Tamandua tetradactyla: one gene and its partners. The protein of the gene in region 2 interacts with the protein of the main gene of each other region in a pairwise test. Links are inferred from orthologs where the notes say so. Each region holds a gene or a part of one and is shown on either strand. Other genes may lie near its edges. The genes, in order: RTN3, RTN4 and SYT16.

What was found.
Region 1: the proteins of RTN4 (region 2) and RTN3 interact in binary tests that used the Homo sapiens proteins (3 or more experiments, as listed by UniProt). The link is inferred for Tamandua tetradactyla from reciprocal best matches to the Homo sapiens genes RTN4 and RTN3.
Region 3: the proteins of RTN4 (region 2) and SYT16 interact in binary tests that used the Homo sapiens proteins (3 or more experiments, as listed by UniProt). The link is inferred for Tamandua tetradactyla from reciprocal best matches to the Homo sapiens genes RTN4 and SYT16.

Annotation. Positions count from the first base shown.
Region 1 is NC_135335.1:10,966,237-10,976,381, forward strand, and holds the start of RTN3 (reticulon-3), read right to left. Parts: upstream 5,119-10,145; 5' UTR 3,879-5,118; coding exon 1,565-3,878; intron 1-1,564. UniProt on the Homo sapiens protein: May be involved in membrane trafficking in the early secretory pathway. Inhibits BACE1 activity and amyloid precursor protein processing. May induce caspase-8 cascade and apoptosis.
Region 2 is NC_135343.1:27,390,302-27,400,446, forward strand, and holds the start of RTN4 (reticulon-4), read right to left. Parts: upstream 6,645-10,145; 5' UTR 6,360-6,644; coding exon 5,810-6,359; intron 1-5,809. UniProt on the Homo sapiens protein: Required to induce the formation and stabilization of endoplasmic reticulum (ER) tubules. They regulate membrane morphogenesis in the ER by promoting tubular ER production.
Region 3 is NC_135338.1:2,892,864-2,903,008, forward strand, and holds the start of SYT16 (synaptotagmin-16), read right to left. Parts: upstream 6,365-10,145; 5' UTR 6,035-6,364; intron 1-6,034. UniProt on the Homo sapiens protein: May be involved in the trafficking and exocytosis of secretory vesicles in non-neuronal tissues. Is Ca(2+)-independent.

The DNA of each region.
Region 1 (10,145 bases), on a different chromosome or scaffold from region 2:
TTTAGACAAGGTACTTCCCCCTTGTCTAAAGAGGACAAGGAGAAATACCATCCAATGAGTTTTGACCTGAAGAATTATATAAGGTTCAAAGTAAAATGATACATATGGTCTCTTAAGTATTACTCACAAAACTGTTCTATAGTGTGGTTACCTACTTTCAGAGCATAAAATCTCTGTGGTATAGGGCTAAATTAATTAAAAGTTCCATTTACTGTGTCTTTTCCTACAGGAATTCCTTTATCTTTGATTGCTAAATAGATTTCACAAGGTTCACATTAAAAAAAAAAAAAAACAAGAATAAACTTGAAATATGTCATTGGTAATAGAGTTCAGCAGGAGTTAGAAACAGGGTAAGACAATGGGTAATTGAAGCTGAAGGGATACAGACTGTGCAACAGGACTAGATATAAAAACTCAAAAATGGACAGCACAATAATACCTAATTGTAAAGTAATCATGTTAAAACACTGAATGAAGCTGCATCTGAGCTATAGGTTTTTGTTTTGTTTTGTTTTGTTTTGTTTTGATTTTACTATTATTACTTTTATTTTTTTCTCTATATTAACATTCTATATCTTTTTCGGTTATGTTGCTAGTTCTTCTAAACCAATGCAAATGTACTAAGAAATGATGATCATGCATCTATGTGATGATGTTAAGAATTAATGATTGCATGTGTAGAATGGTATGATCTCTAAATGTTGGGTTAATTTCCTTTTTTCCGTTAATTAAAAAAAAAAAAAAAAAGAGAAGGAATAATTGGAGATGAAGGGATACAGACTGTACAACGGGACTGGATATAAAAACTCAGAAATGGACAGCACAATACTACCCAATTGTAATGCAATTGTGTTAAAACACTGAATGAAGCTGCATGTGAGGTATAGGTTTTTTGTTTTTGTTTTTTTTGTTTTTTTTTCTTTCTATTATTGTTTTAATTCTTATTCTGTTGTCTTTTTATTTCTTTTTCTAAATCGATGCAAATGTACTAAGAAATGATGAATATGCAACTATGTGATGTTATTAAGAATTACTGATTGTACATGTAGATTGGAATGATTTCTAATTGTTTTGTTAATTCTTTTTTTAATTAATAAAGAAAAATAAATAAAAAATAAAAATAAAAATAAAAAAAAAAAACAACTTGACGATCAGCAGTGCTACTATCATGGAAATTTTCAAACATGCTTTATAAACAAATAAGAGCCTGATATTCTTAAAAGTAGCAATCATTATATTGTTTAGATACCTATAGGTATCTAACTATATTAGGAAAGGAAAACTTTAAAATATAACTGGACCTCAAAAAAAAATTTTTTTTAAAGGAAAGATCAATTTTACCAAGTGGTCTACTGTTCAGGTAAATAATTGATTTAGGGAAACCAAATCAAGCACCCATTTGAAAAAAAAAAAAGAATAACCTATCTTTTCCCTACATACAATGTGTTTCTACTTGAGCTCTAGTTTTGTAACTCTATTATCAGAGACTAAGAAAAATAGCACTCTGATAAGTAATCAATCAGCAGAATTAACCATATGTAGTATTTCTAATGTAAATGGTTACCTGAGAAGTCTGTCAGAAGTCTTGCTAGGATATGCTTGTTTACCAGTTCAGTCTTGCTAAGGCTGGGAATAACACCTACTCTAGTTGTTTCTTTGATAACAGTGGGCTTTTTGGAAATCTCAAGATTAGATTCAGTTTTGACGTTTGTATGTTCTAGGATGACATATGATCTCTGCGACCAAGAAGTCTCTGGAGCAAATGATAAAGTTTGTTTGAGTATTTCTTCAGAAGGAGATTCTACTTTATCTTGTGCAGGAACTGACTTCTTGACTGGTCTTTCACCTAATTCTTTAAGGGCTCTGATGGTGAGCTTTTCCTGTTCTAAATCAAGAGATGCTATTGAAGTACCTTGGATAAGGAAAAAATCCCGATGCTCACTTCCATTTGTTACTTTGCTTTGTTCAGAGTATTTGTATTTTATGTCTTTAACTTCAGAACCATCTGAATTGCTTTCATGCCAGATACCTACAGGAAGAGTTGTTTTCAAGTCTGCCTTCTCTGATACTTCTTCAAAGGCACTTCCTTTACCTTTAACCAATATTCCTTTCTCTCTGTTTTCTGTAAAGGGTGCTACCAGGTCCTCTGGGGAAGAATCATCTACATCTTTAACAATTTTCTTCCCATGTAATGACTCCAAACAGGCAGAAGTTGTCATGTTCAGTGAGAATTCTGTCTCATTAAAGACATTTGGAGATGCTACTGAAGAAAGTTTTGGGTCCTTAGTTACAACAGGCTTTTCAGGAGCGACTTCACTCATATTAGCTGATTGCTTCACATTTTCTGAAGGGATATTCACATCAGATACTTGTGAAAATTCCCCCTCACCAACTGGATTCCTTCCAAGGATATCAGGCTGAACTTGTGGTCTAGAGACACTGATGGACTCTTCAAAGCTTTTATATGTTTTATTTTCCCTGTTACAACTGGGAATTTCTTTGATTTTTCTTTCACCTGTTTTCAAAATAGCACTTGGAATGGAAACAGGTTTTTCAGTCTGAATTTTGTTACTTTCAAATGACACATCTGCTGTGATATCCTCTATTACTGTGTCATCGGACTCACCAGAACTATCAGCCTCTGTTATTTCTCCCAACATGGAGCTCTGCCAGTTCATGTCATCTTTTAGGTGGTCATTAGGTAAAACCACTTTCACCATGGCCACCCTAGAACTCAAAGGCACACACTTCTCCAATGGAGACCCAGATAATTCTGATAGTATGTCATCTTGTTTCTGCATATTGCCTTGCATTCCCTTGGTACTGACTTCCTTTGTGGAATGAAGATAATCCAGTGTAGTTTTTTCAATGATAGCATTTTCTTGTGGGAGAGATGCTTCTGTCCAATCATTTGCTGATTTAGTGATGGGACTGCTCCCATTAACAGAACATATGGGAATTTTCTGATGAGTGTTATTTTTAAGATTTACAATTGGAATTTCTAAATCATATCTACTCATGTCCAATCCTACAGTTTCTGTGATGTAGTCAGAAGATTTATCACACTGTTGTTTCACTTGAGGTGCCAGATCCCAAGTCAATATTTCATTAGTAAAGTTATGCATATCATTCACACATCTAGACACCTCTTCCAAGGCTGCAGTTGTGTGTGAAAACTGTCTAGTGAGCAATGCAGAGGTTGGGTAAAGCCCTATTTCTTTATTTCTCAGTGGATATACTTTGTCATTAGTTTCTGTAATGTCTGCAGAAGATTCTCCATCAGTGTTCACTGCCCAGCTACCAAAATCATTTATGCTCTCCTTATATGACTCCTTAAACTCTTCATCAAATGCTGCTTTGTCAGTAATTACTTCAAATGGTGATTCAGGGGAATCTTTTTCAATACCACCTCCTGAAATTTCAGATGGGGATAAGGAATATGTATGAATGCCTTCAGCCTTAGACTGCTCAGGGCGTGGTTTCTGGGCTGTTAGAAAAGTGAACCCGTCATCAGCATCCAAGGCAGTTTTATCATTTTTACTTGGTTCCTCATTTGGGTCTTTGGACTCTTGATCTTTATTTACTTGCTGTTTCATCTGGCCAAATTCCTTTGAGAAGGAAGCAGGATGCTCTGAGAAACTGGCTGGAATGGAAGGCTGGTTACAACGAACTCCTGCTTCAGTAGAAACTGGGGGATTGGCTATGTCTTTACTTGCTGCTTGAGGCTTTTCCATCTTTTTCATATCTAGAAGAGCCAAGCAGTCTTTCCCTTCTTTGGCTAAAATAGGCTGGCTGTTTAACGCTTTGCTTTTTTCTCCATGTAGTGTTGTAAGGTCAATATTTTCTATTTCAGAAGATGAAAAAAAGGAGGAAGTCATAATTTCTGAAGGTGCCTCATCAGAGCAAAGAGAGCTCAATCCTTCTATGGTCAGAATTTGAAAGAAAACAATTGTTTACTGCATACAGTTACACATTAGCTAGTCAGGCCAAGCAGCATGCTTTCGTTTTTTAAAATTATATATAAATAAATATATACACACACACAGGATGTATATATAGACACAAATATGTAACAAAACAATGATCAACAGCTGCCCTACAAGACATGCATAACATTGCCAACAGTGAAACAGAAAGCCATTATCATGCTATAAATTGCAAATGACGAAAAATTTTCACAGCAAATACTTTTCAATCTGTATAATTGTTTTCACTGTTGAGTTAAAGCATAAACAAGATTAGTGAGACTGGGAGATGTGGGGAAGTTGTTTTGTCTTTTGTTATTGGGGTGGGGGGAGAACTATTAAGAAACAACATAATCCATACAAAAATAAACATTTTGATAATATGAAGAACTGATACAGTCATCTGAAGTTGAACCTTTCAGAACCATTCAGAAAACACATTCTGTCTGTAACTCTACTGTCATAGTTTGACAGTAATCTAAGAAAAAAGTAAGTGGCCAAAAGATCTCTAGGCAGTACAGAGAACCCTTCTTGAGCCTAAAAGTGAGACTAGAATGATCCTAATTGATCCACAGGGACAATTCATCGCATGCACAGATGACTTAAATGGTAAGGAAAAACTGGTCTGCTCCAAAACCTGCCACATTAACCAAAACCGAACCATTCAATTTGGTTTCTTTGGTTAAGATAATCTTAACTTCAAAAATTCTTTTAAAATATCCTTCTAAAAGTAATACCTTAATTAGGCCTTATCAGTTATTAATACCACAGTAACTATTTATTTACCACATTATTTTCCAACTTTTCAAACCAGCAACTTTTTATTGGGAAAAGATAAAAACAATCATCCCAAGGGCAGGCACTGTCTTTCTTGCACATTGCATATCTTTGGAACTTGGAACAAACTAGGTCTTAAATAAATAGTTCCAAATGAATGAATCAAAGATTCAGGCTGGTCAAGTGAGATCCATGTGGAATCAGGGCAGCAATATCCTAAGCATGTATGAAGGATTGGAACCATGTAAAAGGAAAATTCCTTTGAGAACACCATTATTCAGCTTCTGTTTTCTTTTGCTGGTAAGAGGCTGAATAATAATATTAAACAAGAGCAAAATTATGACTATTCAAAATTATTTTATTAAAGATGAAAATAATTACCTTATTGCAATATAAAAAATTTCACTATTATAAAAATGTTTTGAAATGCCAGATAAAGTTTCCCCCTTTTTGATACATCAATGTAATTTGATATAATACAGTTTGACCTTTAGAACTGTGTAATTATAATCTTGGGTATTGGGGGCGGACAAAGTTTTCATAATTGAGGAAAAACTGTTAAAAGTTTGGTGGTACAAATTGGACAGTGGGATAGAAAATATTTTAAGTAAGCTACAAATCCTAGTAAGTTCTAACATAGTAAACAGGTTTTATATCCATCATAATATAGTGTGGAATACTCAGAATGGTTGGATTAAAGGTATAATATAAATGAAGCCCTATTATAGCTTTAAAAACCTCAAGTTTAAATACTATAGGCTACATTTAAATAAGAAATATCCCGTAATCTAAGCTACATATTGTTATTAATCTTGCTGATCACGGACACGTTCAATGGATTAGATTTGGGTTAAGGTAACCATTTGGGAATGCCTCCCTCTGAACAGGAATGGAACTTTGAGGTGAGCAAAACTGACTCCATTCCACAGTGAAAGATCAGCCTGTATGTTTTATAGAGACAGATTTCAGATGCTCCAAACTTGCCATCTTACAGACAAAAATCAACAAAATGAATTAGTAATAATTCAACAAATATTTACTGAGTACCTACAATGGGCCAGACACTGTTTTAGAAATTGGGTTTAGAACAGTGAACAAAAGAGAAAAAATACTTGCCTACCTGCCTTTGTGGAACTTACAATACAGAAGGAGAGACAGACAATAAGCAATACCAATATATATAAAATGATGATGATGATGGGGTGGTGCTTGATGAAATAAAAAGGAAAGGAACCTAAATTGAATGTTAATCAAAGAATGCACACATCACCAAAACAAAAGCATGGTAAAATGTTCTAAGCTTTGCCAGAAGACAAATCTGTCAGTTTACTAAGTCTTGCATCCTTCTTATCTTCCTTGAATTCTAAATACTCCTCCCCAGTAAGGTATATAATAATCTGAGATAAAACTAGATTAGGTTAGAAGCCCTAATACCAGAGTTCCTATAAGTCCTGTACTAAATGCCATGATTTCCTGATAAGACTTCAAACATTTTATTAAAGATTCTTTAATATGGAATATCTATAATATATACCAAAATAATTTTAATCATGCCCTAATATTTGGGGTAGATAGTGTTTTTCTGGGGGGCAAATTCAAAGGTAAAGAGCATGATGTTGCATTAGTTCCTCAATGACTGTAAATGCAGGTGCTAGCTCTCATTATGGTCAATTAAGCTTTCCAATATGTAGCCAAAAAGTTACCATCCATCTATACTTGAATTTTAGCGATCTTGTTTAGAATTTCAGCAAAAGAAATTTCTTTGGCTAACTGGAAGTCAAACAAATTTGGATAGCACTGATTTGTACTAAGACAACGGAAAAAATTGGGCTGGAATTAGTTTATAAAGCCGTGAAAATATTAAACATAAAAAGAAGTCCAGAATTCAATAAGTCTTTTGCACAACTTCCATAAAGAAAGACTCTCCCAATTAGCCTGGCAAAATGGCAGAGCACTCCAGAGAGTTTAAAGGTTATTTTTAAAATACCACCTACCATAAAACTGCCTGGTAGAATAACCCTGGATTATTTTGTATCTTGGAAAATGTCTACCATCTTTCCTTTTTCATAATTTTATAGCTCACTCCAAGAGATTTTCAATACTACTCAAAACAAACCTTCATCAAAAATCTCATTAAGAACACTAAAGATAAAATTTCAACTTATGTGTGAGACTAAAGCAAAAAATGTTTATTTGGTACAAAATTTATACTTTGACTAGTGCAAGTCCTAATATAACTTATGTAGATAGTTGGTTGAACAATGTAAGTACATGGAAAGGACATGAGATTTTGTTGGTTTGTCCAGAGTGATGCCCCGATGAATCCCAGAGTGATTTGATCAGAGAGTGGAAAAGTATTTGCAAAGTATTCCCCTTTGGGGAATGGTGAGAATGGGGGAAAATTCAACACCCACCCCAGGTGAATTCTTGATATTCTCACAAGCAGTGTGGACAACCAAAGCTATAGGCTGAGCCCCCAGTCTTGGGGTTTGTTCATATGAAACTTAACCCCGCTAAGGATAGGTCAAGCCTACTTAAAATTAGGCCTAAGAGTCACCCCCAAGAGAGTCTCTTTTGTTGCTCAGATGTGGCCTCTCTCTCCAGCCAACACAACAAGCACACCCACCACCCTCCCTTGTCTACGTGGGACATGACTCCAAGGAGTGTGGACCTTCCTGGCAACATGGGACAGAAATCCTAGAATGAGTAGAGACTCAGCATGAAGGGACTGAGAAAAACCCTAGAATGAGCTGAGACTCAGCATCAAGGGATTGAGAAAAACCCTAGAATGAGCTGAGATTTAGCATCAAGGGATTGAGAAAACCTTCTCAATCAAAAGGGGGAAGAGTGAAAGGAGACAAAATATCAATGGCTGAGAGATTCCAGAGTCGAGAGGCTATCCTGGAGGTTATTCTTATGCATTAAGTAGATATCATCTTGTTATTCAAAATGTAATGGAGAGGCTGAAGGGAACTGCCTGAATGTAGAGCTGTGTTCCAGTAGACATGTTTCTTATGATGATTGTATAATGATATAGCTTTCACAATGTGACTGTGTGATTGTGAAAACCTTGTGTCTGATGCTCCTTTTATCTATCTTGTCAACAGATGGGTAGAACATATGAAATAAAATTAAATAATAAGGGGAACAAATGTTAAAATAAATTTAGTTTGAAATGCTAGTGATCAATGAAAGGGAGGGGTAAGGGGTATGGTATGTATAATTTTTTTTCTGTTTTCATTTTATTTCTTTTTATGTTATCTTTTATTTCTTTTTCTGAATTGATGCAAATGTTCTAAGAAATGATCATGATGATGAATATGCAACTATGTGATGATATTTTGAATCACTAATTATATATGTAGAACAGAATGATTATATATTAAGAATGCTTGTGTTTCTTTGTTGTCATATTTTTTAAATTTAAAATTAATAAAAAAATTAAAAAAGAACACAAGAATTATATAATGGAAATAACTGAACATATTCGCTATTAAGAGTTCTAATCACTTAAAAATATGGTGCTACTTTAATTATTAACAAACAAGACTTATACATCTAGTAGATTTGTTAAAAAAGAAACCAAAGTATGGTGGGGTAAGGGGTAAAAAAAAAGTTAAAACCCTACAATGATGTTGTGAGCATGCTCCCAATCTTATCAAGTACTAAGCTCCAAGCTTATACATAGTTTATTAAACTCTAAATATTCAGAAGTCTCCATGTAAGTATATCACCTGAAATAAGGCTAGGAAATTAAGTTGGCAGTCCTATCCTAAATCTCTAGAACTCTCCAAGCCCAAAATTTCTATTAAAAATACAAAATCTTCTCATAACACTTAATAATTATGTGGCCTTGGGCAACTTGCTTAATCTCATCTAAAAGATGGGGATTACTAAAGGACCTAACTTTAACAAAAGAGTTGTTGTGAGGACTGGATAAGTTAATACATGTAAAATGCTTAGAACAGTATCTGGCACTTAGTAAATGCTCAATAAATGTCCCCAAATACCACATTCTCAAAAAAATCTCTCTTCTTATACAGACTCCAAACTATATGCCTCTTTTTACTGGGAGAGAGAAAGAAAGCATATTGTCAAATCATAATCACCTCCATCTAGTAACAATACAGAAAATCCTCATTCAGAGTTTAGGTACTTTTTTTCCTACCACTCATAAATAAAGAAAAGTATAGTTTAATTAGTTACACAATTTTCGAATCAGTTAGTACAAGCCAGATACCTATTATACCTCAAGAATTGCGCTAGGTTCTCCCTTTAGGTTCAAACTTTAAAACTACTACTAATATTTCATGGGCTTTCTCTGACTTACTCAATTTCATGGAAGGGTGGAGAGCTCAGGAATCTGTATTACAAGTTTCCAGGTATTAAACCTGATATGAGAATCTAAGCTTTACTCTCTTTTATTAGTTTTAGAAGCCTAGAAAAATCAAAGCTGAACTTCAGAACTCCAGTCCTATAAAATCCCCACTTAAGATGAGTGCCACTCTTCAATGCCATTCCTCTCTACAGATTATCTTGTCTGGGAGCACAACTCAGAGCTTGTAGGGCATAGAGCGGTAGTGATCCTTTTGTGCCTGCTTTAAATACTTCTATATGTATATATACTAATTTTAAAGCAGTTCTAAATTCTGATTGGAATAAAGTAAGGACTCCCCTTGACTACAAAATTTGATATGGGAATAGAGGAAGAATGTTTTCTCTTCTATGGTTACAGTATCTTATCTCACAGAGTAAGGCTGGAGGTTAAAATGACAACATGGAAAGACAACTTCCAAGTGAATACTGTGCATGTACCAAATAAATACATGTGATATTAAGAATTACTGATTGCATATGTAGAATGGAATGATTTCTAAATGTTGTGTTAATTTTTTTTAATTAATAAAAATAAATAAATAAATAAATACATGTGAATTTTTAAAACTTGCATATAGTCTATCCTTGAAAATATCTTCTCTTTACTTTGTTTTTTACTCCCCAACTGTAACTTAGAAATTTATTTGTTCAGGTGTGAATAATTTAACTACTGAATACATAATCTGATCTAGAAACAGGTAAACAATAATGAATGTTATATCCTTTATCAAAGCATTTTTTCTAAAAAGAACAAATAGCTTAAGAATGTAATAGCTACTACTTGGTTACTGCCCACACCTCCCCCTTAGGAAATCTGTTACTTTTAATTAAAAGGACAGGTTACATGGAAATACAATGCACCTTGGTAAAAGGGTGCCATCCTGTAGTAGCCACTAAGTTACTTTTTCACACATACTATGCATATTTATAAGAGGCTTGAAATATTCAGGTATAGGTTTTCCTACACTTGAATTTTCTCATGTTCACAAAACAAGAAAAGACAAGTTATCGTGCAAAACAGTATCA
Region 2 (10,145 bases):
GGGGAAACAGGGCAGGAACTGAAAGTTGACTGCTAAAGACCCAAGAGTAGGATGATGGAAATGTTCTATTTCTTTAAAAGGGTGTGGGATGGGTTAAATGAGTATATACATTTGTCACAATATAAAAGTTAACATTTACAATCTATACATTTCATTTTATGTAAATGATATCAATAAAGAGAATCTTTGGGCATTCTTCAGCAAACTAACTGCATGCAGAGAGAGCAAGCAAGGAAGAACCCATAGATAGATTAAGAGAAAGAAAACCACAAATCAATCTATTGTAATACACAGACCTTATTTGAATTCTGAATTTTTTTTAAAAAAAATTTTAATTAAAAAACTTTTATGACACTAAATAATTGGAAAGATGAACATTTTAAACTAATTATTGTTAAATATTTTAGAGAAATATTTTATTGAAGTATTGTGATTATGTTTAAAAAAGAAGTTCTTATACATTGCAAGATACATAATGAAATCTTTATGAAGGTGTGCAACTGACAGAACTGGGTTGATGGTTCTTGGGGCTCAGTGTTGGCTAAATGATGTTTCATACACTATCGTTTTCCTTTATATTCAGAAACTTTTCATGATAAAAAATAAAAATTTTTAAATTGCTTCCAAAATACACATAAGGCAATATAATCATATTAAAATTCTACTATACTGAAGCAATTTAGCCATGGTTTTACCCACAACCCTTGTAACAGATAATTCAAATATTCATGTTTGATTCTATCAATGCTACACTTAAGTTCCTGCAACATAAAGTTGATTTTAAAAATTTAAGTAAGGGAGATATCAGAAAGCTTGGTGAAACAAAAGTATGTAAATGAGAAGGGATCTTGACAGTTGGCAATCTTGCAGTGCTTGTTCAAAAGTGATGTCTTACAGCCCTAATCCTTATAGCAGATCTATGTGTAACATAAATGGCCTATAAAATATAAAATGAAATACTTATCTTTCTAAATTCTGACTTTCATAATCCATCTTCATGTATGCAAAAGCAACTAAGTTTTTATCAAGTTGTTTTGTATACAGTTCCCATCCCTGGTGCTGTCATCCCCAGAAGGACTTTACCAGAGTCTATATAAACAGGAATAAAAAGTCCAAAATAATGTACTACAAATATTGTATATATGCAATACTACCACTTAATCAAAGATTTCAAGAAACAATCAGGAAAGATCATTTGTTTAGTTAGTTCTTTTATCTTTTAACCTAACAAAGTTCTTTTAAAAATATGCCATTTAAATTGGGGTCTTAAATCAGCAGTGTTTTATATCAATTGTTTTTAGGCATTTTGGGAACAGAATTACATAAAACAATCAACTACTGAACAACTGAAGATATACTCCTTTTTTTCAGAAACATTTTATATCTAAGAATTGAATACACTCTAATATCTTTTATCTGATTTTCAGTTGTCTAATCTATTCTTTGTTTCTCTGCTCTGATTTTCTATTGTTTCTTTTCTGCCATATTGGATAGTGGTGGTAAAGTATGCCATTATTATGGAATAGATTCTGTTAGTGTTTCTTTTCTTTCTTTCTTTTTTTTTTTTTCCAGCTATGTTGTCCCTGCTCTACCAACCAATTACGTTATTGGGGTTGGAGGAGCAAATAACTGATCTTTTTAAATGGTCAGTTCATAGGGATTCATATCCAGATATGATGGAGATAAAAGAATCTGAGTCGGATTCAGCAACTGGGTGGAAGTTAGGGTTTTCTCCCTCGGGAGAGGGTGAAAATTTTTGACGTGATGGGAGAAAAGTAAATTATAGCAAGTGTTCTAAGATTAGAGTAATATAGCACTGTTCTACATGATTAGATTTTTATCAAGTTTCAAATATACTCATCACTTTTTAAAAAGGATTCGAGGGATCTTGCAAGTCAAAAAAAAAAAGGACCATAAATTTAAGGCTGAGCTTAAATAAAGATAGGAGGCTATCTGAAACATAATTCACCTTGTCCATTAAGAGCATAACACTTCTACCCAACTTTTTCCTACTCAGAAAATTAGGAATTGCTTAATGAGAAAAATGATTAAGAATCTCTAAATTCATCACTTCAATTCCTTGCTGTCCTTTTCTAGGGAATGGATAGTGTGACACTGCTTTCTTTAGCATTATCCACTTCTTAGAAGTGTCCTATCACTGTTCACTGTACATAAAGAATGGATACTTAAAATTTAAACTATGTATCATTCAAAATCTTTTAAAATCTCTAGTATGTACCTCTGATGCCAATATAAAGAAGTGCATTTATGATAAAAAAACTAATAATTTTTAAGCCCCAACCCATAACCTACACTTAAGAGTACTATTCAATTCTATATATATTTTCATTGCGATTAACAATTTAAAGTTTCCAAAATTGATTTAATAAGCACTAACATTCTTTCTTGTGTTTATATCCATAGCCTTAGAGTGCTATAAATTCTTACATAAAGCCTGTTTGTAACCTAACTGTAAAAATAAGAGATTCAGTCAATTAATCAAATCATGCTTCTTATTATCTCTTGAATTCCTCCATTCTATTTCATTTTCATGGAATGAACTCAAATCTTCCTTTGTCTCAGAACTATGGCAAAAGCTTTCTAAAGAATTCACCCATTTTCTTTCCATCCTATCTTGAATATTGTCACCAATTCATTTTTCTAACACTGCCTTCACGATGCCATGCCTCAGGTCAATTAATCTTCAATGCCTTCCTGATGCCTAAAGCAGTAATAATTCAGGAAAGGGGTTAAAACCCAACGAAATAACTGTATTTTGGAAACAATAAAAACATTTCATAATACGAACTAAAAAGTAAGCTCAATTGTGAATAGCAGAGAGTGTATTAAAGCAGTATAATAAAATCCTCGTTCCTTAATTTGGCATTCAATACCCCTCAGAATCCAGAGCCACCACACATTTTCAGTCTTAATTAACACTGGTTTGGGACCTGTCCAGAGGCCAGATCAAAGTCATCTTCCAAGATAATGTTAGCAATTTTCTCAAATCAATTTCTGTCCTCAAAGCCTACTGTTAATCTTTTCAAACACTTCTCCATGAAGAGCCACCATCGAGTGAAAGAGAAGTGTGTCTCACTTCAATTACTATATTGCAAAGGAGATACTCCAGGCACAACAAGCAGCAAAATTACAACTTATCCCCTGATGGAAATCAAAGTTTATTTAAAAAAAAAAAAAGCATGAACAGCAATGTCAAATGCATAAATGTCAGGGATCTACTATACTCAGTAACATAAATCCTCTTCCAGCTAAGCTATGTTCCTAACCACGCTCGGCATTATTTCTCACTTCCTTTGTCTTTACTCATGTAGGTCCTCTCAGTCACTCTGAATATCCAATTTTGCTCTAAAATCACAGAGTTCTTAGAGAAGCATATTTTTAAAACAAACTATACTAGTTAAAAAAAAAAAAAAAAAGCTTTGTACCATGGACTTGTGAGACACCAAATGGCCAGAGTAAAGCCTACCTCTTCTTTACCCTTCCCTTACAATACCACCTTCTCTCTAGCTTTTCTCAATAGCGTTCTTACAGAATCTCAAATGTGCAAACAGCTCATTTCTACTTAAAGGCCTTTGCCCCAGGAGATGCTTGGAACATTTTTGATCTCCACAGCTCAAGTTCACTCCTCAAAAAGGCTTTTCTCAATGTCAGCCTACCTAAAAAAGCTCCCACACATCTACATGATGCTCCATCACCCTGATTACTTTTTTCATAGCACTTAACACTATTCTGAGTTTCTTATTTGTATGCTTATTATCTGTAACCCAATATGGGAGTGCAAGTGTCTAAAGTTTATTGCCAACCTCAAGAACCTAGAACAGTGTTTCTTTCTTAGGAAGTAATCAATAATTTGCTGAATGAACCCACAAACTGTTAAGAAATCTGGACTCAAAGAAATGGGTTTAATTATCCATGACCAAAATTGTAATGTTCCTGCATTTACTAAAGGAACAAAAAGTTTCCAAAGAAATATCATCGATAAAGAATTAGGAACTATGTAGAAACAGAGTTCCTGAACAGGCAATATTCTCTCCTCTATCTTCTAAATTTAGGATTCCAACAGTCAAGATTCCAAGAGAATGCTGTCACCTCCTATATTCCCACTATTCAAAGAACAGAATTCTTAGTTCCCAAGCAGGAATCCAAAATAACAAGTTAACATGCTTTTAAGTTTCCTTTCCGCAAATTTCTTATAATTTTATATTTTTCTACTTCACCTTACTTTCCCTCATAGATATCTTTGTCATACAGAAAAAAGAATGGTTGAGTTACTCATCTTCTAAGACCTTTAGTGTACTGATGAATGTTTTGAGTAGTGCTTTGGGCTATTGTCAATATCAAAATGTTGTTACGTTATTCAAAAGCATCATCACAATCGGTTTATTTCCGCTTTGTGGAACAGGAGTGAAATGAAGGAAAAAAAAAAAAACTACTGTGTGATCTGACTGATTTTCTTTTTCAAGAAAATGAACCACCCCTAAAATTCTAGAAGGCTATGGACATTTCTCAACAGGCTACCTGATCCCTGATCTATAAAGAAAGGTCCTACTGCTAGTGCAATCTATCCCCCAAAGCAAAAAGTTACTCATGAATGCATCTAATCAATTTCTCTATCACTAACAAACTTAATTTTTTCCTTTCACACTAATTTTCTAAGATGAAGAATGTAATAAAACAATGTTCCCCCAAATAAAAATAACATAAAATCAGCTAGTCATGCGAATTAAAGATTTGAAAACCATTTTTTCAAACCCTAGATTTGTGTTTGTCAGCCTAAAACATTTAACTTCTAAGAAATAGTATTTCTAACCAACTTATGAAAATGTCGGTCTCAATACATTTCATTAGGTCTCACGGTAAATCTGCCACAAGGTCAACGGGCTGATTCCCAGCAAGGAATCCACAGGTTTCCTCTTTCTTAAGAATGTCAACCATTTTGCCTTTCCTTTTTTTCGCCAAGATTCAGTTCAGGTGCATCGAGAAGTTGAACCCGTCCACAGTAACAGTTAATTCCTGTAACCCTGCAGTTGAGACCTTGTCAGAACTGTGCCTCCATAGAACCCAATGCTCAGATCCCCTTTCCCTGGCTTGGTTTTTGGTTTGGCTTTGTGGGGAGTCGCCACACCACAACCTGGGGTGGGCGGTGGCAGGACTCAGCCAGAATTCTCTCTCCTTTCCCATTCTCCACACGCCACACCACTGGAGGCGCTCTCCCTTCACTGCGGCTGGGTCAATGTGGACGTTTTCCAGTGGGCCAGCTCCCCACAAGCGCAAGAGGGGGAGGGGTAAAGCGTAAGGGGGCCACCCACGCCGGGAAGGGGTAGGGAGGGGTCCAGGGCTGAACTACAATAGACAGGCAGCGAAAGCTGCACCTTTTCCTAGAGGAGCAACCCAGACGGGTGGACAAGAGCCCCTCCCAGAAGCTTGGGGCGCCAAGGCCTGCCCAACCTTACCCTGAAACCAAGCCAGCCCAACGAACTCACAACCCTTGTTGCTCGACACACACCCAGCTCCAACGATGGGTGGGGGCCCAAGCCCCGGGATGCAGTGAAATGGGGACCAGAGGGAAGAACATCGGGAGCCCGCGGGGTGCACGTGGTTCCCCGAAACCAAGACAAACCAAATAGAACAAGCCCGGGCTTCCTCCGCCATCCCACCCTTCTTCCCGCGCCTCCCGGGGGAGAGAGGGCGCCTTCACCCAGACCTCGGCAGACAAAGCCCCCTCAGGGCTCAGAGGAGCGGCACACAAAAGAGGGAGGGGCGCGAGGCTGGAGGGCGCGGCACTCACCCACGGAGCCCGAGGAGCTCCTGCGCTTGGGCGCGGCCGGCGTGGAGGGGGGCGCGGCGGGGGCCACGGCGGGAGGGGTCCACGCGGGCTCGGCCTCGGGGCTCAGGGCGGTTGGGGGAGGAGGGGGAGGCCGGGCGGGGGGCTCGTCGTCCTCGGGCAGCTTGGAGGGCGAAGCTGCGGCAGCGGTGGGCGGGGACGGCGCGGGCACTGTGGACCGCGCGGGGCTCGGGTCCCAGGACGGCTGCCGCTCCGGGGCGGCGAGGGGCGCTGCCGGTAGGGGTCCCCGGGGCGCCGGGGGCACGAAGTCATTTCCGATGTCAAGCAGGGGAGCGGGAGCTGCGGGCGCTGGAGCTGCAGACAGCGTGGCGGCGGGCTTCCTCTCCAGCACCTCCAGCTCCTCGAGGTCCTCGTCCTCGTCCTCTTCTTCCTCCTCCTCCTCTTCCTCCTCGTCCTCGGGCTCCGTCACGAACTGGTACTTGAACTGGGGCTGAGGCCGCGGCGGGCTGTCCGCGGACGAGGAGACCAAAGGCGACTGGTCCAGGTCTTCCATGGCTGGCGGACCGGGGATGCTGCTGCAGCTGCCGCGGCGCGGGCCGCTTCTCTTTCACAGCTGCGGGCGGTTGTGGGGGTTGGGAAGGACTGAGGGGCTGGGCCGGCCGAGCCGAGGGACCTGCAGTGGCGACGGCTCCCGGAACAATGAGACTGCTCCTCCTGCCTCCGCGCCCGTGATGCGCCACCCACCCCGTCCCCTCTCGCAGCCGCCGCCGCCCAGATGAACGAAGGAGAGAGGCCAGCAGACTCTCCGCCCAGTTTGGCGTGACTCACCTCCCTGGAGGGGAGAAGCAGGGTCTGGCGCGGGAGGAAGGGAGCCAATCGGCTCCGGGATGGAGAAGATGGCAACCAGCCGGGCCAACGGAAAGGGAAAGTGCTGGGAGGAGGCGGGGCTTGTTGCGCTTCCTTGCCCTTACCGGCTGGGGTTGGGTTCGGTGGGCGGGATTTGGGACTGTGAGCCTCGCCCCTCACCTTGGGTTATTGTGGGTCCGGGTGGGGTCTTGGCCTTGCAGGGCAGTTCGAGGTCTTGTTTGTCGTTAGAGTAGAGCGAAGGGGAAAGGGCTGCGGACCCGGAGGGGTTGGAGAGGTTCCTGGCGCGCCACCGGAAGGGCGTTATCGGGGAAAGGGGGAGGGGGAAGTGGAAACTTTCCTGCCAGGAAAGAAAAACCCAGAATGGGGTATTAACTAACGGGATGGTGAAGTAGGCCCTCATAATTTAAATATACATTTTTAAAGATTTTGAAATAAAAGATTATACTTTTTTAAACCCAAATTCCCAAGCCACCTAAATTTTTTTTTTTTTTTTTTTTTTTTTTTTTAGTTTTAAGACCACTCCCAGTCTAAACTGCAGAGGTTGGCATGAGGTAAGCCAACAGCTGAGGACGGTCTGGAGCTCCGGGAACCACCATTTGAAATTGCCGTTCCTGTCCTTCCAAGAGGGTTTTAGGCTCTGCTGCTTGACTCTCACATGATGGAAGGATGAGTCACCCTAAGAGAGAGGAGAGGAGGAAAGTGGACACAGAAAAATGCCTCGGAAGGCAAATTTGGTTCACATTACATTTTCAGTCACCTTAGGCTCATGAGTCAACATTTCAGATGATGCAGGCGTTTCTGGGAGTCAGAAAGCCCCAGAGTCATTCGTTTGTTAAGCGGGAATGATCGTGATCCCCCAGGTCACTTTTTCCAAAACTGGAGAGTTTAAAGAAAGTAGTTGCAGAACACAAGAGTCATCAGCCAGAGATCTAGAGAGCCCTTTGAACTTTCTGAGGTGCCCACTCTGTTAGGCCGTGGAGAGGAAGATCACCTGCTTTCAAGTTGCTTACAGTGAGGTAGTTGCAGCTCTGTCCAAAATTCAGTTGCTGGCTACATGCACCTATTGAGCACTTGGAATGTGGCTAGTCAGAATTGAGATGTGTTGTAAGTGTAATGTGCACACTGAAATTCCAAGAATGAGTACCAAACAAAAAGAATGGAAAACGTCTCACAAATTTATGTAAGGTTACCTGTCGAAACTGATATTTTTGATATATTGGGATAAGTAAAATATCGATTTCACTTGTTTCTTTTTACTTTTTTAATACAGATACTAGAAAATTTTAAATGCACATGGCTCATTTTTTTTTGGACAGCTCTAGAGTAATAATGGCAATCACTGGTTATTTAAACAAATTCTTAACTCCAGCTAATTAATTTTATCCTAGGCTAAATTGGGGTATTGAAAAGGACAAGTAGAACAGGATTTCCTTGTCATTTAATTATCAATGGCACATGCAAGACTTAGCACATTGTTCTACAAAGATAAACTGGATCTATTTCTACAGGCTGATTGTGAATTGTTTTGAGCTTGTTTGTTTTTGCTTTTTTGAAGGGACTAGGAAGAGTAGGCTTATTTTGCTGGTAAATGAATGCCAAATTAGAAATTTTAAACAAAACGGACTCATGTGATAATGACTAAAATACAACTCTAAAATATTAACGTTTCAAGTGTTTGTCAGAAATTATCTAAAATGTACATGATTTTCAACTAAATGTATACACATACAAAAACATACTATTTTTATGCTATGAACTTTTTCTAAATTAAGCTATTAGCATTTTATTCGTTCCCATACTGCTTTTCCTGCTATGTTTGTTCTGGAACACATTAATGGGAAACTTCAAAGGATTTCCATATGTCATCTGTAAGTTGCTTATATGATATATCTTCATTCAGATGAGCTCGGTACCATATCTGTACCTACTAAAACAGTCTCAAAGGGATATTCTTAATTTATTAAAATTTGCAGGTATGAATGTAATATATATTACAGAAATGTGATAGCTTTATGACTTTAATAGCAGTGAATATTGGGACAATAATATAAACATTCTTCTGATGCAGAAGAAAGACTAAAATTATCTTATTCATCTCAATGACCTCTAAAATATTAAGCATTTGATGGTTAAATAACAGGAGTTTACCCAGTGTTCATAAAATGGTTAACAAAACATAAAGAAAGGAGAATATGACTGCTATACCAAAATTAAAGGTATAGTTAGTTACAAGAAAGTTCTAGTGGGCGTTTAGGATAGTTAAGAAAAGAATACAAATTCTAGATCATATTAGTGGTTTAAAAATAATTATTCAGCAAATTATCTTTGGAATCATTTTGCCAGGAGTAGCTTAATTTTCCAAATACCCACTGGTTAGTAACTGTTCTGTCTTAGAACACTGCACAAGATCCATTCAGCCTGGTAGAATCATAGATCTCAGAGATGGGAGGACTCTGGGAAGTCAGTTTATCTAATCTCTCCCATTACAAGAATTCCCTGCAGAGTTTTTTAAAAGGTGGTCATCTGTAGATTAAAAGTGGCTGCAATCTCTTTGCAGCAACTGTCATCAAGAGGGGTCTTCTATTTCCCTACTCCTCTGAGTTGGCTTTGTGACTTGCTTGACAAATAAAATGCCCTGGGAGTGAGTTCCATGTCTAACAGAAAGAGGTATCACAGCTTCCTCTTTAGCCCTCTTGGAATGCTGAGGCCCTGTGAAAGAGCCAGGGCTATATATTCTGGAAGATGAGAGACCAGTGGAGAGGCAGGCCTGCTATCCTAACCATTTAGATGGTGGCCCAGAAATATGAATGAGGCCATCTCAGACTCTGCAGCCAACCCACACTATCATGAAAAACAATGAATCATTGTTTTAAACTACTACCTTTTGGGGTGGTTACTTATACATCAAAAGGTACTTGAAACATCCATTTTGGGCTTCATTTATGCTTGATTCATTCAGACAAGATAGTTATTGGGTGTTTATTATGTGTCAGGCACTGTTCGAAGCTCTGGGGATACACCACTGAAGAAAACAGACACAAAGATGCTTGAACATTTTCAGTAAAGGGAGACTCACTACCTAGAGAAATAGCCCATTCATTCCATTTCTAAAATATTTTACTTCACAGAAAATGTTGAATTGATACCTAATCTGGTATACATAGAACAGATTAATTGTTCTTATATCATGTATACCCCTCTACATGAGTTAAAAGGCATAGAATGGATGTATCTCATCTTTACATGTGGGGTATGAACTTCAGAGTGAATGCAGCAATCATAGAAGAAAGATGGGACTTGAATGCCAGCAAACCTGTTTCGACAACTGTGAACCATAGCTTTTTTTTTTTTTTTTTTTTTTTTTTTTTTTTTTAAAGGAAAGACAGAGAGAAGGAAGGAAGGAAGGAAGAAAGGGAAACATCTTTAAAGACAGAGAGAAGGAAGGAAGGATAGAAGGAAGGAAGGAAGGAAG
Region 3 (10,145 bases), on a different chromosome or scaffold from region 2:
GGGGAGTTTTCTGAATTCACTGATATTTACTCAAAAATCCAGAAGAGAATGAATTTACCTTAAATTGACAAGATCAGATATTTTCTGCAATTAGGATAGAACAGTGGCTCCAAACTTCAAAATCACAGAGGTGGGAGTGATACTGCAGTGGTAGTGGCGATAAAGCAGCAGTGACAGTAATACCTGTCATACTACAATCGCAGTGACAGTACTAGCAATGGCAGTGCAGTGGCTGCAGCAGGGACACAGCACTCGCACATGCAACCGTAATACTACAGCAGGAGTGATACAGCAGTAGGTATTGTGGTGGCAAATATTTACATGCATTAGTTATTATTTTATAATAAACTAACATTTATTGAGTACTTGTATTTGCCCAACACTGTTCTATGTTGTATAAAAGTGCTCATTTAATCCTTACAACAACCCCAAGAGACAAATTTTTATCCTCATTTTTCAGTTGAGAAAACTTAGGCACAGAAAAGGTTATACCCGTGAACAAGCATAGACTCAATGGATATTGGTTGGGTGGGTAAACGGATACATTACGAAGTCAAACCTCGGCATGAAATCAAACCCACACAACCTCACAAGACTGTGAGTATCCCAAAGGCACGGACAAAGCTTTTTGGTGCTCTGAATTTGGAAACCAGGGGCATTCCCCATTAGGGAAAAAAGGTTTTCAGAGGCTAACTTGTTATCAGCCTACCTTTCCAACCCCATAATTTCTTCCATCTCTTCCCACTAGGCTACGATGGGTTCTTCTACACTTCCCGTGACATGATGTTACCAGCTGCATCAGCTTCCAGAATGAGTTTTGGGAGGCGAGTGTTGTTGCTTTGCTTGCGTTTTGCCATTCTGCTCTGCAAGAGGTGAGGCTGAGGCGCAGTACCTGGCAAGGCTCAAACGTCTCTGGGCCATTAGACATCCAATTAGTCGATTAGAGCCCCCGGTGACTAGTGGTCCAGACAGCCTGCATTTGGCCTTGGCCCCATCTAGATTCAGCACCCTGTCATTTGACTGCCTTTTCTCCACGCAAAAGCCCTGAGCAGTACTTATTTATTTTATCACTAAAATGAGTTTAAGCTTTTGAAAATGGTGACTTTCCACCCAACCTCAGGAAGGATTTGTAGGGCCAATTAGGAAGTGAACTGAAGTGGTCTTCAGTCTCCCCTGAATGCGTACCTCCCTTTCTGTGAAGAGACAAACCCTGGGCCCTAGATCATCGTGCCATCTAGCGGCATACTCGTTTCTTCCACGGCCTCTCAATTTGCAGCGAGGATGCCCAGCCATCAGCTAAATTATTCCACCTCCCAGCCTATGAATTTCAATAAATATGCCATCTGTTCACCTTCTGTGTGGGAGTTCAGTCATCTTCCTGGCAGCAGTATTATTCCACCGCAATTACCTATGTCTTTATCACCTCTCATTGAGTTGCAGCAGCATCTCTGCAAAACCGACAAGTTTCAAACCACAATTTCTGTTGATAGGACGGTCTCTATGGTTTCCATGGAGATGATCAACTAGAACACGGAAAAATATCTACACTTGAGGTTGAGTGGGGGCCCCCCACAACCTGAAAAAAAAGGAAAGCAGGCTTTCCTTTGCACTGTGGAGTAGAAATGAGGAGCCTTCATTTCAGGCTGCCAGGTTTTGATCTGCTGAAATCACAAGACAGGAGAAAAGGCGAATGGAGCCACGTGCTGGAAGATGCAGAATCAGGGCGTGGGATCCATATCCAGCCCTGCCACGAAACACACAGCGAGGCCGTGTGCATGATCAGGGATCTTCTCTGGGCCTCAGTTTCTTCTTCTGTAAAGCGAGGAGATTAGAATAGAATGGGTGACCGCTGAATTTCCCTTTATCTAGAAATTGTTAAGATGCTAGCACACAGAGGACGGGAGCCCGTAGTGCAGCACATACCCAGAAGTTCCACTGACTCTCTGAACACCACTGAACTGCTAAGAAAAATCATAGCCAAAATTATAGGGAGTCAAAACCACCAGAGCAATGTGGATGCATTTCAAATTCTGGATTTCTGTTAATTCTATTTCCTGGCCTCATATATGGAAAGCGGAAACAAAGGCTTAAAGAGGCTAATTTACCAGGGTTGCCCCAAGAAAGTGGGGAGCTGGAGTTCAACTCATGCTGTTTGGTTCCACGGTTCAAGCTCTTACATGCAGTGCCATTTTAGAAGCCTTCGTGAAGAAAGTAGCATTTCAAGACAAACTCTGGAAGCACAGGAAGGATGGAAGGCATTTTTGAGGAGAGCCTATATGCATGTCTCATTAATACCCAGCATAAACTTTGCATGGGTTCAGTTCTGGCTACTTGCCATGCAATCGCCTATCCAAACAGCCTGAGTATAGCAGCAACAGCAGTATGCATTCCCCAAAAACATGTTCATTTTCTTTCTGGGCACATAATAACACTACCTTTCCCCAAATCCCCTTGCAGTTAGATCAGGAACAAGAATCTGGGTTCTGGCCAGTGGAATACACTCAGAAACAATGCACACTATTTGCATGGGGCCATAAAACACCATGTGTTTTATCTTCTCTCCCTTCCCTTCATGCAGCTGGAAGTGGAGAACTCAGTTCAGCAGTGCCACAGACCCAATCCCTGAGTCACCGCCTGAAGCCTCACGGAGAGCGGCACCATCTGCTTGGACTGTGGTGAAAATGGGAAACAAACTTCGATTTTATGTTCTACTGAGATTTGGAGGTCTTTTATTACAGCAAGTAACGACCAGTAGATTATCAACAGGAACAGTAATATGCCTTACTTTTCCCTGCCCAACACTCAATTCCCTCTCTTCTGGTGATCACACTTTCCTTCCTGAACATCAGTCCACACGATTCCTAAGGAATACCACCTCCCTATTCCGAATTGAGGCCTGTCAGCACATCCCAGCACCCAGGTCAGCCAAATGAGAGGCAATCCTGAGACGTTTTGCTAAAACTCTGGTGAAAGAGAAAGTCCTTTTCCACTGGGAATGCTCAGGTGGATAACGTGGAGCTCAGGGAGGTCACCACAGCAGAGAACCTGCCTTAGAATAAAGTGAGTCTGTGAGGCAATACAGCCAGGAACAAGATGGGGGAAAAGAAAGAGGGATAGAGAAGGAAATAAAAAGTAGGCAGAGGAAGAGAGAGTCCCCTGTGGGGATTGGAAGAGAGATCAGCCAGAGTGGGGAGGGGAGAACAGGGGGGACAGAGGGAAAGGAGAGACAGAGGATGAAGAGTGAAAGAGAGAAGGGAAAGGACAGGATTTACTGGGGTGGAAGGGGCTAAGGAGGAGAAGCAGAGATGCAGAAAGAGAGGAGAGAAGGGGAAAGGTAGAAGCGAAGAGGGAGGGAAGACGGAAGGAAGACAGAGGGAAAGAGAGGTGAGATTCTCATTTGAATCCCTGGATCCGACCTAGGCGAGTCAGTCTTACCCCTGGGATTCTCTGTTTTATGAGCCAATAACTTCCCTTTCGCATTTATCCATTGTAATTGGGATCCTGCCGCTTGCTACAGGGATTTTGTTCTCATATATTCCAAAACACCCTTAATAATAGATGAAACCAACACACAAATGTCCAAACATGGGCACATAATTATGTAATAATAGTCAACAATGACTAATTGGCTACCATCTACCAAAATGAGCATCATCAATATTCAAAGCATCTCTATAACCTTATCCTTTTAATCTTTCACGATTGACTTCTTCAGTTCATTCCTAGCCTGGGATTATAGGCTATTACGTTTTCTGGCTTGGTTCTTTATCTCTCCTTTCATCTTGCTCCCTATTCTAATAAATTATTCTGTCTTTATCGTCTCTTCCTGATAACAGCTCGTCTTGTTTCTGCTTTTCACGTAGTCATTTAGGATTCTGTAAGGGTCGCTGGTCCCTTCAGCCCCACATCTCACATTCAGCGCTGCCGTGCATCTACCCAGCCACAGCAGCTCCATCCCACAGGCAGTCACTTTAAGCTGCTGCTGCTCAAACCACCCAGTGTGAGCCAGTGGTGAGGCAAAATCCATTGTTCTGAATCTTCCTAATATCGTATTATCGACAGCAGCAGCAAAGGACAGTTGGCTTAAATTGAGAGTCCATGCTTAAATTTGAAAGGGCAAAATGAAAGGTGAAAATGTTTTCCCTGCAAAGAGAAAAAAGCAAAGGAGGTGTGTGAGAAAGAGTCGGAGGCAGCTAGTGGCGTGTGGATGTGGCACATGTGCGTGTGTCGGGAGGAGGGGGGTAAGGAAGAAAATCCAAGGACCCTGTTCTCGAATGGTCATCAGGAAATAAAACACTCTGGTTCCCTCTAAAGCCAAAAGAAAAAATGAAATGATTCTTGGAATATTAAAAAGCAAAAAGAAAAAAAGAAAATTTCCTTAGCCAAAAACCCAGGGGGGCACAAGTAGAGGCAAGCGTCACCCCCTTTCCTTCTAGTGAGAAGAGGCGAAGACACTCAAGGGGTTGTACTCCAGAGACTCATATTTATTTGTACTCCTGGGACTCATATTTATTTTCCCCAGATATTTCATATCCATTCAAGCAAACCGATACATATGACACTTGGGCACAAGGCCTTTTTCAAAGAGAAAAATCAGCCCAGCAAAGCTAATTTTCCTCATTCACCAGTCACCGCCCCCCCCCCCAGCCCCCCACACAAAGCCAGCGTCCTGCCATTCACTCACAGCACCCCAGCCAGGAAAGCGTTCAATGCAATCACAGAAGCTTGGGATTTTTCTGCTACTATGATGCATAATTTACTAACATACACAATTTCTGTCAACAGCAGCCTCGGTTTTTCATATATCAATGAATTTCAAGGCTCTGTAAAAACTTGGCTCTAGATAAAGGAACACTGTAGACAAAGAATTCAGATTTTTGTCCAAAGAGAAGTAAAAATTGTATTTCCTGTAGAAGGCTAAGTTTGTATATTTTTATCATTATGAAAACATTCCTGACTCTATTTAAGACCATCCACCCCTTCCCTTTTGGAACCCCCACTCCAGTGCCTAAGGGGTGAGGTAGCAGCTCAGCTGCGGAAGGGACAGGGAACTTGAATCCTTGCACTCTTATCGACCTGTGACATGCCATGAGCAACGTGAAAAGAAACTCAGAGACCCTTCTGTCTTTCCCTTGAACCTGCCCTATATCTGCTGCCTTGGGGTCTACCTGTCCCCTCTTTTATGCTGGGTAGTAGTCCTGTTTCCATCCCGCCAACCTAAACTGCCCACAGCCACAGTTCCCTGGTCCCTCCTACTCTCTTCACATCCACCAAAGACCCCAGCCCAGTCTTGCAGTGTCTGGAACTCAAGGCGGGGAGAATGAGAGAAGGCTGGCCCAGGCTTCTCCTCGCACACGGTAAATCAGTACCCTGCCTCTCCATGATATTTCTCCTCTTCTAAAAAGCTTGCACTCATTCATCAACCTTTGGGTCTGAGCTGTATGTCCTTGGTGGCCACAAATCCCTCTTTCTATGTTGTGGCCACCAGGACCTTTCCCTGAGCCCCGTAGAGTGAATGTGCGCCTAACACCTGGAACTAACGAGGGCAAAAAAAAGTGAGAGACGATTACAGTAATGTTATATAGAGGGCTATTAGTTTTATCTCTATCATTATAGCTTTTAAAAAAAAGATAGGTAGAAGTAAGATCTATTTTTCTATCAAAACTCCCTAAAGCATGGTCCTTTCCCCCAAAATCGGCTTTTTGTTGTTGTTGTCAAACCCCAGGTAACCACTTATTAAAGATAATTTGGCTCCATGTGCAAGGGCTCATCCATCCACAGACTTTAACCCCAGGCAGAACTAGCTCAAGTGCCTCCAGAAGAGCTAAAGGAGAACTTTTGGCCATTCCCTTTTTAATCTTGATAGTGGTGGTGATAATGATGATGGGCGATAACTGGTAATAGCAATTACTAACTGCCAAACCCTATGCATAAATCAATTTACTTCTCATAACAACACTCTGTGGAAGTCACTGTTATGGTCCCCCATTTTATGGATAAGGAGATTGAGGCAAAGAAAGGATAGGTTACTCACCCAAGGTTACACAGTTAGCAGGTGGCTGAGTCAAGAGTCAAATCCAAGCATTTGGTTCAAGAACCCACGATCTTAAATGCTCCACTCTACTATCTCCCTGTGCCCATTTAAAATAAGGTACCCTGTTGCACAATATTAGACAGAAAATTCAATTCCAGTGATACTTTCTGAAACACCAGCACCTAAGAAGGAAAGAAAGCTGGTGTAAGCCAACTAAAGAAAGCAGCGGATTATTTTGTGCAAAGCTTTCATAAGAGAAATCATTCCCTTCTGTGTTTATGGTCTTATGTCAAAAGAGGGCTATTTGGCTCTACTTCCTTGAGGCCTCTGGTTTTTAGTGGGTCCTGAATAGAGGAATCTGCTGGAGACTTTTCAGTGTTGCAACAAGCAGCCAATCAGACTGTTCTGTCCTACAAACAGTGGGAACAGTGACTTCACTCCTAATCAGTGTAAAAGACCTTGACACTGAATGAGCAAAAGCTTTTTGCACTCCAAAGAAGCAATTTTTTTTGTAAGGAGAAAAAAAAAATCAGTCAACTTCTTAAGTAGAAAGAACTCACCTATTAATCTTGTTCTGCTACTCTTGCTAATTTGGGAAACAGGAAAGTAGTCACACCCTTTTGCGCTCAAATTTAAAAACAGTGCACGTCATCAAAAACAAAGGACTTTATAAATTTGTCCTTCAATTGGTCGAGCCCTGCTACAAGTGACTCCTTAGGCACCAACTGATGGAGAAGAGAAGGTATTTCGTGATCACTTTAAACCCAGGTTTCAGTTCTTCACTATAAGGCAACTAAATTCCATTCACTGAAGCACAGAGCTCTTTAGGAACCTAACCAGCTGAAAATCTAAGTTTAAAAAAGGAAGGGAAACAACTATTGGCTTTGGGTCACTTTAACAATCCTTAATATTAATGTAGGGGGCCTAAGGAGTTCTCTTTTCAATGTTTTTATAAGACTGTGAATGTTGATTAATGGACTGGCAGACAGTGTCAATCCCAGACAACAGCTAGATAAATAGTTCTGTTTATCCATTTCCTTCTACTGATAAGTGCAAATCTGCCCTTTATTATTAAAATAGCTCCAATTTGAGGAAAAAGTAGGTGTAGAAAGAGAAAGCAAACTGATAGGTAGGAAATTACAGAAGACACAATAATTGGATGCTTTGCAGATTTGGAAAAATAGTGATATTAAAATTAAATTATGTTACAACATGAAAACAGTATAAAATTACAAAGTACTTACCAAGTGATTTGTGTTTGTTAAAGTTCTGCATTATTCTACTATCCTGCTTACCCTGTGCTAACTCTGTTTTTGTTTTGGGGAATAAGTATATGACCCCACATTTGTGATATGAGGATTATTTAAATAGGATTGTGCTTTTAAAAGACCTACATAGCCTTGGCTGCCATAGAAGAACGATTGGAGGGGTGCAATACCGGAGGAGTGGAGGAGGAAAGGAGCTCATGAGCTGTTACAATTATTCAACATCATGGCAGACCAGAAGGATGAAAATGGAGATAGAGTTGAGTGGATGAATTCAAAAAAATTACTTAGGCAGTAGCATTTCCACACGTGAGCGATGAACGGGATGGGGAGAAGAGAGGAGTCAAGGTTTCCGGCTCAATGGACGGTACTGGTGTATACTGAGAGAGGGAGCACTAGGGGAGGAATTGGTTTGTGGAATAAGATTAAAAGCACAATTTTGGAGGTGTTGAATTTCAGGTTCCTGCAAGACAAAGTTGACTGGATATAGACTGCCATCCTTAAGACCCAGGCGACAAACATTTGTGGATCCACCATCTACCAGACACTATACTAGATGCTAAGACAGAGCAGTGAAAAAGTTAGACAGCATCCCTGCCCTTGAGGGACTTAGAGTCTAGATAGAGAGAGAGGCGTTAAATAAGTCATCAGACAAATGAATAAATGGAGGTCCTGAGAAGGAAGCATTTTAAGATGGATGAGTACTAACGACAGAGCTCTCTATTGGATTTGGTAGCATAGAGGTCATTGTAATCTTGGACGAGAGTTGTCACAGTAGAACCCCAAAGACAGAAGCTAGATTAAAGAGAGTTGAAAAGAAAGCTAGAAAGTAAAGAAGTAGAGACATTAACTATGGGAAATTTGTTCAAATAGTTTTGCTGAAAAGTAGAGCAGCAAAATGAAGCATTTCTAGAAAAGGACATACAGTCAAGGGAGAAGTATTCAGAATGGATGATTATAAAGCATGTTTGTATGTTACCGGGAATATTCTCTAGCAGAAAGGGCAAAAGTGATAACGCTGGAGAGAGGGAACTTTGCATGAACTAAGTCAATTTAAGACCAACCAGAAAAAAATATTAAAATCACAAGGCCTGAGGGTTATTCTTTGGGGAAGTAGTATTTAGAAAGGAACACTGGGGGCCTCTGAAGTACAGATAATGTTTTGTTTCCTGATCTAGGTGCTAGTTAAATAAGTGGGTTCATTTTGTGAAAATGTATCAAGATGTATATTATGATATGTGCATCTTACAAGTCAATAAAGTTTTTGAAAGGCAAAAGGATTGGAAAGGAGGAAACAACTTTTTGCATTTTTTGCAAGTGACATGATTGTCAACATCAAAAACTCTAAAAATTCATAAACTATCATAAATAAAAGGAAAGTTTCACAAAATAGCTGCGTATATGAATACTATTCAAGTCAACCACACCACAATTAGAAGATATTTTTTAAATACACCATTTAAAATAAAAATTAAAAACTATAAAATATATAGTAAAAATTTAACAAAATATGAGTATGAACTGGATGGATAAAATTGTGAAATTTTACTGAAAGATATTAAAGGAAAACCAAATAAAGCAAGATACGTGTTAACGAAGAGGAAGATTTGACTTTGTAATGATGTCAATTCTCCTCAGATGGACCCAGAAACTCAGTGAAACTCCATTCAAAACCCCAGCAGGATTTTGTAGAAGTCTGCAAACTGACTCTAAAATGCACATGAAATAAACAGTAAGGGGCCAAGAATAGCCAATCACTTCTAAAGAAGAAGTAAAGGAAGTACTTGTCCTACCATGTATCGGGTTTATTGTAAAGCTCAGGAGCTCCTGTAACGTATCTCAGACAGTGTGATAGCAACACAGGGACGACCTGACTCACCAACAAGCCCAGAAACAGACCATTCCATATGTGGGTCTTTGCTCTATGACTAAGGTGCCCATTTAGTTTATCATCCAACCTGGGGAACTATTCGTCCATAATACGTTAGACCAACAAATGTAAACCATTTTCTGGGCAAATGAGGATGGATATTTGGTATATCTATGACAGAGGTGGCAAGAGAACAAATGGAAGAGTTGGCTTTTGATAGAAACAGAGGCACTTAATCAACAAATGCAGGTGGGAAATGGAGTATGGATAAAGATATCGGTGTTTATTAGATTTGATGATGGGTATTTGACCTACCTTACTACTTTTATTTTCTCTTGAATCAATGTCACCAGCTGAACATGAATGGGAAAGGAGCATAAGAAGCTGGGAGTGAGAGAAGACAGTGAAAGTTTTCTGCAGGGTGGAAGAGTAAATAAACTAAGGATGTGGAGTAGGCTTGCCAGGCAGCATTAAATTTCACATTGGATTTATGTCACGAATATGTAGATCAGTGAGCACAATTATTCCTTTTCTCCAGCAATATTTAGCTGCTTAAATGATTATAAAGACAGACTGAAATATGAACTAGGTAAAAAGGAAAGTAAGGAGAATAGGCAGATCATAAGCATGTGGGAGGTCAATGGATTAGATAGAGTCTTGATGAAGTCAAAAATCGTGGGGTAATAATTCTAGAGAGGGGAAAAGGAGTGCGTGTCCGAGAGCAGGCTCCTTACAACAGATGTCAGAATTGGTGCTGTTTATTGTTGATACAAGATCTAAGAACCCTGGGAGTCAGGGATCTGGGAGTAATATTATTTGGGTCACAAAATCGTAGACTGGAAATGTTAGAGCTGAGGTCCAGAGAGGTAAAGTGACTTGTCAAAGGAAGAAAAAGAAAATGTTTATTGATTGTGCCAGGAACACAGAGGTGAACGATGACAAACGTCCCTGGCACATTTCTGAAAAGGGATCCTTT